Linked DNA regions of Nothobranchius furzeri. The protein of the gene in region 3 interacts with the protein of the main gene of each other region in a biochemical or structural test. Links are inferred from orthologs where the notes say so. Each region holds a gene or a part of one and is shown on either strand. Other genes may lie near its edges. The genes, in order: pdzk1, mpp1 and abcc4.

Region 1 (4,353 bases), about 33 Mb from region 3:
AATAAAATGAGTTGTGAAAGTAGCCAATCCAAGTATTAAAATTGCACAAATGGGTTAATTAAAAGGTATTTTTTTCTTTTTGCATAAACATTTAAATACTGCTAACATTGACTTAGACTTTAAGTTGCAATCTTGAGAATTGTAGATTTTCTTTAACCCTTTACAAATGTACCTTACCTTTAAATGAGCTAATGGAAAACCCAAATCCTGACTTAGATTTGACCAGGTAGCAGAGTTTGGGCTTCCAATCTTCTTTAGCCAATCCGTTGGCAATGGGTGAGCTTTGAGGGTCGGAGAGGTTCACTCCGAGTGTTTTTGCTTGATTGTAAGACGATTCATCCAGAATGTGGAATGTGACAGATGCTCCACTGTTTCTCACCAGCTCCACCACCTAGTAGAGGGACACCATGGAAATTCACTGCTGGTGATTGGATCTGCTGTGTATCTACATTCTGCTCACCTCTGAATGGGTAAGCCCATCGACAAATTTTCCATTGACCCGAAGGATGCGGTCTCCATCTTTCATACCAGCCAGTTCAGCTGGACCTCCCATTTCCAGGCAGCGAATCAGGTGGCCCTCCTTACTTTGCTCCACCCTCAGAAAGAAGCCAAATGTCTGACCAGGCCTCTTGGCCAGGGAGATCACCCTTGGCGTGTACGTGGCCATTGTCCTAACATGAACAAAGAAATAATAAACGGTACTTAACAGAGATGCAAGAAAATGTTGAGACAATGTAATATCGCAATATTCTGTATGTATTGTACTTCTTTTGTGTGGTGCAATTCAAACTCCGGCCGCTAGGTGGCAGCAGCTTTTACTGCCTTCATTCTGACAAACCAGCGAGATCTCACAATAATACTGAATGTGTCTTGGAAGCATTTGGCCTCAGTTTTCAAATAAAACTGTTTTAACATCTGCAAATATTGTCAGCTTTTAACTTCACAGTAAATCATATCGTCTCCCTTGTATTGCACACACACACACACACACACACACACACACACACACACACACACACACACACACATATATATATATATATATATATATATATATATATATATATATATATATATATATATATATAGTTAAGTCTTAGGCGTAAGGGGTGGGGGGACAACCGAGGACCAGCGGGAATCTTTTCAGTATGTTCTAATGGGAAACAGGCTTCAACACAAACAGTTGTTTTCCACTTGGTCCTAGAGCTCAACCAGTGTCTACTTAATATAGAGTAATATTGTTTTTGGACGATAAAAAGTGCAGGGGTCAAAACATGACTTTGGCAAAAGTGTGCGTGGGTGTGGGGTGTGTGTGTGTGTGGGGGGGGGGGGGGTGACATGCCCCCCCCCCCCCCCCCCCCAACCACACACACACACCAAAATTTATATCCATGCATGGATTCACCCATCTTGACTCGTGATGGGGAAGGCTGTTGTTGGTTTAGCATCCAGGAATCAGCAGAGAACGTCTTGGCTAGTGGAATCTAGTTAGCATTAGCAACTCCACCACACAGCAGAACTCCTTCAGGGTTGAGTTATTTGTGGAGATAAAACGTTAACTTTTGTCACGTTGCTGTTAGCCAATCCAATGCAAGATGACCAAATATCAGGAAATAAAACTACTAATCTTGTTGTCTGAAGCTACTTTCTCCTTCAGCTTACTTCTCTGTGCTGAAACAGGAGCATCATAAATTAGAATCCATTTCTTTCTGCTAGAGATCATTGCCGATGCATTGATTAACTGAGTGTTCCACACCTTTAAAGTGTCAATAAATTTGACCAAGCCAGTTAAGCCTTAGACTTATTTTGGTTTTAGAGCTTTGAGATTGGAAAATGCAATCGAACTTAAACAGCTGTTTTTCCCCTTTACATTTGTTGACGATCATAAATTAGTTCACCTTGTAATCTATTGTGCTACGCATTAAGCATATTTATCAGAGTGGATACTTCAGCACATAAAGACGTGACAGAAGTGCTGATAGAGGATGAAAAGTTACTCTTCCATGACAACAGGCATGTAATGATTTGCAGGACACACAGCTGACAGTGAAATAAAAATCACTGGACTTTGAATCCAAATTAAGGGTTGTGGGTTTAACTCTCAGCGGGATGCTATAAAAGGCAGGTGTGCTTATATTAAAAACGCAAACACTCATGTCTTAAACGAGATTCATTGCAACGTTTAAGAAATTTGTAAATTAATAAAAACTTTGGGTTTGTTTTCATGATGTATTAAATACAAAATGTATTTTAATTAGTTTTAACTATTTCAATGTATAATTTAGGCAATTAAATAATTAAAAACACACTAATAACAACTTAAAATAGAGTTATGACCTTTATCTTAGAGTTAAAAAGGTGTAATATTTATTTTATCCTTATAAAAGAAATGTTTAGCTGTATGCTTCATTTGACTTTATTAATCTTGTTTTTTTTACTTGTGCTTACAGCTGAAGTATTGATACAACTATTAAAAGTTTAATAGTTATTTAAAAGCGGTACATATTTGTAATGTGGTTATAAAGTTTACGTCGTATTAGATTTGATTTTAACAGCTTTTTCACCAAAATATAAAGCTAGTTTAATATTAAGAGCCCCAAAGAAGTAGATTATTCTGTTCAATACTTAAAAATTGGAAAATAATATCAATAAACCCAAAGCAACAAACAGTGATAACACCGTTTTTAACTTGTTGATATTTTTTCACCTGTTAAAGTATCAGAGGTTTTCCAGCAAATGATTAAACGTGTTCTTTAATCTCCACAGGAAACCTTTATGAATCTTAAAATTTCCCCAAATTTATTTAAAAAAAAGTATAACAATAAAAAATAAAGAGTAAAATAAACATTTCACTCACCGACTCTCCTCTGTTGAGTGTCTGCGTCTAAAGGGGGAGCTCACCTGTCACTGATTAGCTGTTATGGCATCTTAAACCTGCACTCCCCCCTCCCCACCTCCCTAAGGGACTTTGACAGGTCAAAGTTCAGCCTAAAGAGTTATTTAACAACGTCTTGTGTCATGAGTGTCTGAGGCTCTTTGCAGTCTGTCGAGTGCGAGCAGTCATCTATTTATTTTTCAAAGTTTGCAGCAGGTGGCTGCTGAACAGCCATGTTCACACATCATAGTCAGAATCCACAAGACTGCATCCTGTTTATGTTTATTTATCTAAAATTCATGAATAAAACACACAGAAGAGGCCATCAGCCATTAAGATTAAGAAAACATACTTAGTATCTGATTTATGAAAGTTTATGTTGTGGAAAAACAACATTTAGCAAAAATAAATGTCCAATTAAATTCAATATGGATATTTTTTATTATATTTTCATGTGTGGTTTATTTATTTTTTATTACTTTTATTAGTTTGATTTAGATAATCTCTAGCACTCAGTGAAGAGAACGAGGATTTATTTCACAGAGGTTTTATTGTAGTTTGTCATGTACGTACTCCGTCTACAAGGTTTTTTATGATGTTCCCAGTAAACGTGGGTGTATTGTTTATTGTTACTGTAGCTGTAGGTATGAAGGTCTTGTACTGCTGTCATATGGACTGGACAAAGGTGTGTTTTTACAGAAACGTGTCATAAATGTCAAATTCTAGGAGCAAGCATGAGGACTTGGACACTAGGGGACTTCATAATAGCATCTCAAATATTTTAAAATAAAGGTAAGCAATAACTAAAATTACAAATTAAATTAAATGAATCATGAAGGAAATAATCATCTGTCTTTACCTTATTTGTGGCTGATATAGGACATTTTTTTCTAAACTAGATGGAAACTTTTATTTTCATTTTGATTCTGCTTTAGTAAAATATCAAATGATTCTAAAAAAATAAACTTCTTATGCATGTTGGAAAAACACTGATTCTGTTATAAGCTCTAAATCATATTCAGTGCATTGATTTCTGTCAGAAAACCTTTGAGTTGGCACATTTTCTTTATTTTTTTGGCACACTGCTGCCCTTAATAGGGCATTACCACTAGAAGCATTAAGGCACATTGATAGAAATTAGTCGCTGATGGTGGAAAGATGCAAGGGCATCCATTATCCAGGTTCCGGACAGCCTGCAAGAATGTGGATCACATTACAGCCTCCTGTTCTATGCTGTAAGAAGTGCAGCACAAACTGCACACAGTCAAAAGTGTCTCTTTCAAATTTACAAGGGAAAACTGTTAAATTAGGCATTTTACTCCTTTTTGCATTGAGCAGTAACAAAGTAAATGGTCATGATCAGTTCCTGGGTTCCTGTCAGTACTGTTTAGCACTCAGATCTTTAGAAGAATGCTTGTGATTTTATTTTATTTTTTTATTTTTTTGCTTCCTACAATCAAACTAAATGTGGCTAACTT
Region 2 (3,650 bases), on a different chromosome or scaffold from region 3:
TGGTTGATTGTAAGGTGAAGTTACACAGACAGCATGAGCAACAAGTGTCAGAATCCTAGTCCTCGCCATAGCTAATGTAATGACAAATGGGAAAACCAGAGACAATGAAAATCTAATGGCGATTTATTTCACAGTCATGGTCCTGTTTTGCATTTCAGAATATTCTTAAGGTATGTGGCACCAAAAGCTAGCTCCTAGCCTCCAAAAATGTTTAAACCACCTGGTGAAACATCTCAGCCTTCTGTCATAAAGCTTTCTAAATATTGCTTTTTTTCTTTAAACTGCATTTGTGCAATAAAATCTCAGTGACAACATCCAAAAGGAAAACACCTGGGACGCTGCTGACTCAGAGGTTTTGGCGTTTGGAGTGATACTGGCATTCTTTAGTACACCCACGACACAGGCACCCATTGGGGGGTGGAGGTGGCGTGCTCCATGGCCTCCTCTACCCCTTTAACGCTCTCATCCACGTCGTTGTTGACAAGAACCACGTCAAAGAAGTGTCCGTACGTGCCCAGGATGGCGTCCGACTCTTTCTGGATCATCTGAAGGTTTTCCGTCTAAGAGAGAGGAAACAGGAAGTTTAGCTATTGGCTCGTTGATTTAGATGTTTTTAAAAAAAGGTGTTTATCGTGTGATGTTGTGGCACCTGTGTGGCGGTGTTGGTGGGAGCTATAAACACCACCAGGGGGGCGAAATCAGCTGTCCGCACAAGTTTTAAGGTCTGTAGGAAGATTTACAAACAAATCAATTACACCCTGGGCACTAAATATTCCAGAAGTGTCCATTACAAAGTCAAAAATGTGAGCATAGTGTTTCTGTTTGTCCGTTCTGACCTGTGGTTCCACATCCAGCACAGCAATCTTGTCTTGATCGTGGATCTTTTGGATGGTCTCGAATTTGGTACCGAACATGTATCCCTGGAAGCTTCCGTACTCCAGCAGCTCGTTTTTGGAGATGCACTTGGTCATGTCTTCATTGGACATGAAGTAATATTCATGTCCGTTCTCCTCGTCCTTCCGCTGGGGTCTGGTTGTGTCTGTGCAAATTCAGTGTTTGAAATGAAGATTTTTGCAAACCTAGCTTCGCTGTAAGAACAAAAACATCCTACTTACGTGGTGCAGGGTAGGAAAATTTCTCAGGGTATCTCATCAACAGTGCATTTTTGATATGGCTCCTTCCCACACCAGGTGCTCCTGAGAAGAGCAAAGTTAAGAGCTCATTCATTCAATTTGCGATGAAGCAAGTTTCCTCTTATGTCCCTGAGAAAGACAGCTTACCGATAAGCACCAGAGTTTTTCTTTTAAAAGCAGGGAGCCTCACCACCTCTTCATAGGAAATCACATCCAGTTGGTCAAAAACTGCAGACAAATGATCATGTTTAGATAAACTTGCACTGGGGTGTAAACTTGGGTCCAGTAATCCTCTCACTTGAGCTGTGCTTAGCGAGATATTTGTCCTTGCACTTCTTCTTCTTTCCAAACGGGCTGCAGGACTGACTTCCCTCCTTGGCCTTGCTTTTACTGGCCACTCTCCTGCAAAGAAACAGGCACATGAAGTTGTATATGCATCTTCAGCTCTGCAGGACCACTAATCAGAAATGATGCGTATCTCTACCACTCTTGGAGCTCTGGGGAAGGTATCAGTCCAGCAAAGTCCACACCGCTGCTCTCCACTCTGCCCTGCCACCAGTTTGGATCCTGCTTGTTAATAATGTGGATGATGTCTCCAGTTTGAAACTTTAGGCCAGCCTCTTTGCATGGGATGAGGTCATCCTTGGTTGGGTCATAATCAAACTGAGCTCTCATGTATGTCTGTGGATAAGGATCAGGACATGTGGAGCAGAGATACTAAATATTTTGTGTAATAAGAATATTTAATCGTTTCTGCACAAATACCACCTTTAGGAAATAAAGTAGTCTAATACAGACTTCAGACATTTCCTTGTTATTTGGATTCTATCAAAGACAAAAGTTAAAATCACCCACGGGTAGAGCATAATGCCAAATGATCATGACAGCTTCTTGCAGAACACTAAAACTGTTTCATAATGAATAATAAAAGCATGAATTGGTTTGACAAATGTAGACTTCAGTCTCATTGATTATTAGAATTTAATTTTAATACAAAACATTCCTAAACTGTCACAGATTATGGAACATGCATACTCCACCCACAGGTGAATTACTACAACCACATTCCTCAATGGCTGGGATCCCCGCAAGAAAATTAATGCAACAGATTTCTGACTTTTTTTTTTACTTAGAATTTATAGAAAATCCTGCAGCAAGGGATGGATATAAGTGTCTCTATGTCTTCCTCAGATATATGCTCTAATGGGAAGTAAAATGCATGTTTTACTTACTTATTTATATATCTATTGATTATGTAATAATCAAAGGACATGTGCGAGTTCACTTCAGTTGAGAACTCAGGAATTTTGGGGAAATTTCTTAGTTTCTCGCCCTCCTGACTCAGATTTGCTCAGATTCTGAATGCTTTGCCTCAGAACTGTGGACTGGAGTCACGTGACTTGGACTTGATTCGCGTAACTTGGACTTGAGTCATGTAACTTGGACTCGAGTCAGATTTGAGTCACAGATTTGATGATTTTAGACTTGACTTGAAAAATGTTTAAAGACTTGTTTTTTATATACCAGTGACTTGGGACTTGACTTAGACTTGAACCTGTTTACGAGAAAAGACCTGGGGTCTCATTTATCAAACATTGCGTAGAATCCTTACTAAAACTGTACTTAAGCTCAGCAAAACAAATGTACTTACGCCAAGTAGGTTTGTGATCTATCAAACATGGAGAACGCACAGCTGCACGCAATCTCCGCTTCATAAATCAGAAACTATCTAGAAAGGTTCTCAGCTGCTTTTTAGTCACATCCCACCCTCACCACGCCCACTTACTGCCATAAATAGTCAATGCAAAGTGCCTTGTGGATCTCATGCATATACATAAGCCGGCTGTTGCAGCGCTCCACCAATGACATGGCGACCGTAGATCAAGGCTACGGTGGCCCTGAAGTGCAAACCACAAAAACAAATCACTTAACGCAAACACAAATTGAAAAGCGCAAAAACAAATCGCTTAGCGGTCTGGCAAGGACCCGGCCTGTGGATTCGGACACACCCGCTGACTGCTCTTTCACATAACCACGTTCGGCAGAACAACTTCCGATTCAAAAGGCCAACGGATCCATCATCCAATCAGTGATGCCTGTTGTTGCAGCATTGGTACCTACCTTTTCCGGTTTGTTTTTTGTTTTTGTGGTTTTCAATTTGGTTTTGTGTTTAGTGAATTTGTTGTTGTGCTTTTCAATTTTTTGTTGTGCTTTTCAATTTGTTGTGCGTTTAGTGATTTTTTGGTGCATTTAGTGAATTTGTTTATGCGCTTAGTGATTTTTTGGTGCATTTAGTGAATTTGTTTTTGCGCGTAGTGATTTTTTGTTGCGTTGTCACGGCTGCCAGCCTGAAGAGGGGAAAAAGCAGCCAGGATCACCCAGCTCTGGTGATTGACTGGACACCGCCCCTCCTCCTCCTCTCTTCCAGGCTGCTGAGGAGCACAGCTGAACTGAATCCTCCTGATGAGCCACACCTGGGATAAAAAGGCTGTGCCTTCAGCAGTCTGGGAGGCAGCA
Region 3 (3,650 bases):
ACTTTTTAAGTCACACAGCCACTCTCCCCGTCTCCCGAACTGATTAATTCACATCGAACTTCAACAGTGTTACTAATGTCCGTGGACGCCTTCTGGCGCTGATCAGTGACATCACTCAGTGCTGAAGCAGTCGTGATGTGCTGCTGACGTCTGAAAGTCCTGAAAGGGTCGATTTTATAAGGAGAGGGCCGAGCCATCGTAGTTCCTCCTCCCCGACGATTCCTGGAATGGGGCTAAAGAGGTGGTAAAACCAAGCGAGTGTAAACACACGTGATGTGGGAGTGATTTTGTCGTGGAGTGTTTAAAATGGCGAAATCACAAATCTCCTCTTTGGTCAGATCTTTTGAAAAAATCATTTTTGGTACCGCTTGGGACATTAGCTACATGCTAACGCAGTGAAACAGCTCCTACGTCATCGCTCTACCGCGTTTTTCTTGCTAATAGCACCTGGAAAAACTCTGTTAGCTTCGGGTTAGCATGTAGCTAATGTTCTGCAGATCACCAGCTGTGGAGTAGTGTCGGCCCAAGCTGGCCCACCGGGACAGTGCCAGAATGCCAGATGGGCCAGTCCACCCCTGGGCACAGACCGACAAACCGAGGCGGGCCGGGTCACACGTGGAGCCCGTTGGTAAGCTGCACAACTCATTTATGAAATCGCACGACGGTACGTTCACCCCGCCTGCCAAACCGAAGCGATCTCCTGAAACTGCGGACCCGTGCTGGTCCACACCGACCGACCCGTCCCAAACCCAGAAGCTCTGAGAACTTTGATTAGACCCTAAAGCCGCCATTTTACTCTCAGCTGATGCTCGAACGCGTCTGTGAGACGAGTATTCGGAACCTTTACAGAGACACATCCTTTAGTTTACAAACAAAAGCAGAACCGGGCTGCCTCGGACCTCCTGCAGGGCGTTCCACAGCTCTTCATCTGAGTGTTGGTTGAACGGGTCCAGGTTCTTCCTCATGGAGCCCGTGAACAGAACCGGGTCCTGGGACACAAACACAAGAGCTATGTTTCATCTAAGTGGTTCTTTAGTCTCACGTTCTACCGTTGGACTCGTTCCTCCTCCTGCGGACCTGAGGAATGATGGACATCTTCTGCCGCAGGTCGTGGAGTCCGATCTCAGACGTCACCACTCCGTCGATGTAGATCTTCCCCTGAGGTTCTGCCAGGCGGAACAGAGCCGAGATCAGGGAGCTTTTCCCGGCTCCGGTTCTCCCAACGATGCCCACCTGACAAACGGAGAACATCAGGTTCTGTCCAACCTCTGGGACCAGCTGTTCTCCACAAACAAGCATGTCCAACCTTCTCTTTGGGTTTGAATGTGGCCTGCAGGTTCTGCAGCACCGGCGGCCCGTCTGGGCTGTAGGAGAAGCTGACCCGGTCAAAGGTCACCAGGCCTTTGGTGGGCCAGCCTGGAGGAGGGCGCTTGTGCGTTTCCCAGGGAGCTTCACTCTCCAGCTGCGTGTACTCCACCACCCGCTCCACCGAGGTCATCTGCAAGCAGAAACAGCTTACAGCCTCCGAACGTCTGAGGAGTTCTACCGGCGCGTCTGAAGGTTCTCACCATGTTCTCCACCTCTGCACTCTGCCTGACGCCCCACTGGAACATCCCCATCAGCGTGACGGCGTAGCTCAGCGCCAGCCCGACAGAACCGGCGTCCAACTCTGAAAACACAACTCTGCTCAGAGACTCTGGCTCCCCCTAGTGGCCCACAGCAGAAACTAGGGATCCTTACGGTCTCGCAGCAGCAGGCAGCCAAACACGGTGATGGTGACGAAGATGGAGCACATGATGTCGAGGCGAAAGGCGAACCAGCGGGAGGTGGTCAGGAACAGGAACCAGGCCTCTGTTCAGAACCAGAGAGTCAGAACACAGACGGGACAAACGGACCAGAGTCTGAGATCTGAGGGGAGGGGGGACCTGAGTGAAGGTCCTGGTGGGCGTCAAAGGCTTTCTGGAACCTCTTCTCAGCGCAGAACGCTCGTATCGTCCACAGGCCCTGAAGAGACGAGGACAGGTGGGAGAAGACAGGACTCCGAGCTGTGGGACAAAGAGACATTTGAGACGCCGGAACAGCTTAAATCTGGACTCTGAACCCACTCAGGGGACGCTCACTGGTGGACTCCAGACGTTTGACATCTCTGGAGGTTCTCAGGTAGTAACGTCGCAGGAACAGGAACACTCCGAGGAGCGGGACAACAGGGATCAGAATCCACGGGATCACAGAGGACGCCACGGCGATCACGCCGAGAATCTGGAGGAAGACCTGCTCAGAGGGACGAACGAGGTCAAACGCGTCCAGGATCTTGTTCCTCGACACAAAAACTCTAAAGTCTTAAATATCGTTTCGTCACGATTCTCAGAGTTCTAAACCACGACAGGTTCTGTGTGTCCCCACCTGGACAAAGTCCGTAAACGTCCACGGCATCATAGAGTCCAGCTGCCCGATGTCCTTGGAGAACCTGTTGAGGACTCTTCCTGCAGTGAGACGGAACGTTAGCGGGGGCCGTATCCTCCCGGCGTCTCCAGACCTGAGCTCGACTTACCGATGGGATTGATGTCGAAGAAGCGGACGGGAGTTCTGAGGATGCAGCTGAACATCCGGTCGTGGAGCGTCTGAGCTCCTCTCACCAACACGCCGAACAGCAGAAGGTTCCTCATGAAGCCAAACAGGATGGTGGCAGCCGTCAGGCCTGAGTAATGGAGTAGGAGTCACTGATCAGCAGAACTGAAGGAGCTCACAGAGCAGACGCAGTGGCGCAAAAAGTGGGTATGCAGTGTATGCGACGCATAGGGGCGCCGCGCTGGTGGGGGCGCCTAAGCAACAATGGGGGAAAAGGGCATCTTTGTGTTTCATAGCCATTTGTGCAGCAAGCAATTGGGCGCCCCTCCGCAGCCCTGCTCCACACCCCCGCCCTACACACACACACACACACACACACACACACTCAGAACATGAACACTCTTGACGAGTTCAGCGCGTGCGCCCGCGAAAACGCACTAGGGCACGATTGTTTTCATTTGAATGATATCTACTGTCTTCTGATCAGCTAGCTAGGTTAGCTAGAGATGGACAGACTGAAAAAAAAGCTCTCTGGGGCACAAAACAGAAAACGGAAGAGGGAAAAGGAAAATGATTTTGTAGAGATCCTCTCGCAAGAAGGCATAGTTATTCCTAGGGATGTGTATTGGTGAAATTCTGGCGATACAATACGTATTACGATACAGGGGAGACGATACAATATATCACGATATATTGCGATACATTCAGTCAGACGATATTGGCGATTTTCTTTTAGACTAAATTTATTATAGGAAAATTCAATAAACAGTCCAAACTGATACTTAACATGTTTAACCATAACAGAGGGATTTACATTTCAATGGTGGAAACAAAACCCATTACACACTGCTGCCAACTAGTGGTCGGCGTTTGAATTGCACCACAAGAAAAGAAAATACACAAATGTTTCCATGTAAATTCTTCCAAAAATTAGATATGCGACTTTTGAATATCGATACATTTTTGCAAGAAAAAATATCACGATATATTGCGATATCGATATTTTTGATACACAGCTTTTTAATATCGATATAATATCGCTGGGGAAAATATCACGATATATTGCCATAATCGACATTTTC

What was found.
Region 1: the proteins of abcc4 (region 3) and pdzk1 form a complex in vitro, tested with the Homo sapiens proteins (2 studies listed by BioGRID and IntAct, with this or other methods). The link is inferred for Nothobranchius furzeri from reciprocal best matches to the Homo sapiens genes ABCC4 and PDZK1.
Region 2: the proteins of abcc4 (region 3) and mpp1 form a complex in vitro, tested with the Homo sapiens proteins (2 studies listed by BioGRID and IntAct, with this or other methods). The link is inferred for Nothobranchius furzeri from reciprocal best matches to the Homo sapiens genes ABCC4 and MPP1.

Annotation. Positions count from the first base shown.
Region 1 is NC_091754.1:24,604,757-24,609,109, forward strand, and holds the start of pdzk1 (Na(+)/H(+) exchange regulatory cofactor NHE-RF3), read right to left. Parts: upstream 2,949-4,353; 5' UTR 2,858-2,948; intron 672-2,857; 5' UTR 668-671; coding exon 461-667; intron 392-460; coding exon 178-391; intron 1-177. UniProt on the Homo sapiens protein: A scaffold protein that connects plasma membrane proteins and regulatory components, regulating their surface expression in epithelial cells apical domains.
Region 2 is NC_091750.1:51,669,205-51,672,854, forward strand, and holds part of mpp1 (55 kDa erythrocyte membrane protein), read right to left. Parts: intron 1,815-3,650; coding exon 1,618-1,814; intron 1,536-1,617; coding exon 1,432-1,535; intron 1,362-1,431; coding exon 1,281-1,361; intron 1,197-1,280; coding exon 1,116-1,196; intron 1,040-1,115; coding exon 837-1,039; intron 725-836; coding exon 650-724; intron 561-649; coding exon 384-560; 3' UTR 1-383. UniProt on the Homo sapiens protein: Essential regulator of neutrophil polarity. Regulates neutrophil polarization by regulating AKT1 phosphorylation through a mechanism that is independent of PIK3CG activity.
Region 3 is NC_091754.1:57,277,927-57,281,576, reverse strand, and holds part of abcc4 (ATP-binding cassette sub-family C member 4), read right to left. Parts: intron 2,699-3,650; coding exon 2,552-2,698; intron 2,484-2,551; coding exon 2,404-2,483; intron 2,272-2,403; coding exon 2,121-2,271; intron 2,046-2,120; coding exon 1,926-2,045; intron 1,852-1,925; coding exon 1,741-1,851; intron 1,670-1,740; coding exon 1,569-1,669; intron 1,499-1,568; coding exon 1,307-1,498; intron 1,234-1,306; coding exon 1,078-1,233; exon of another isoform or gene 1,043-1,077; intron 990-1,042; coding exon 900-989; intron 1-899. UniProt on the Homo sapiens protein: ATP-dependent transporter of the ATP-binding cassette (ABC) family that actively extrudes physiological compounds and xenobiotics from cells.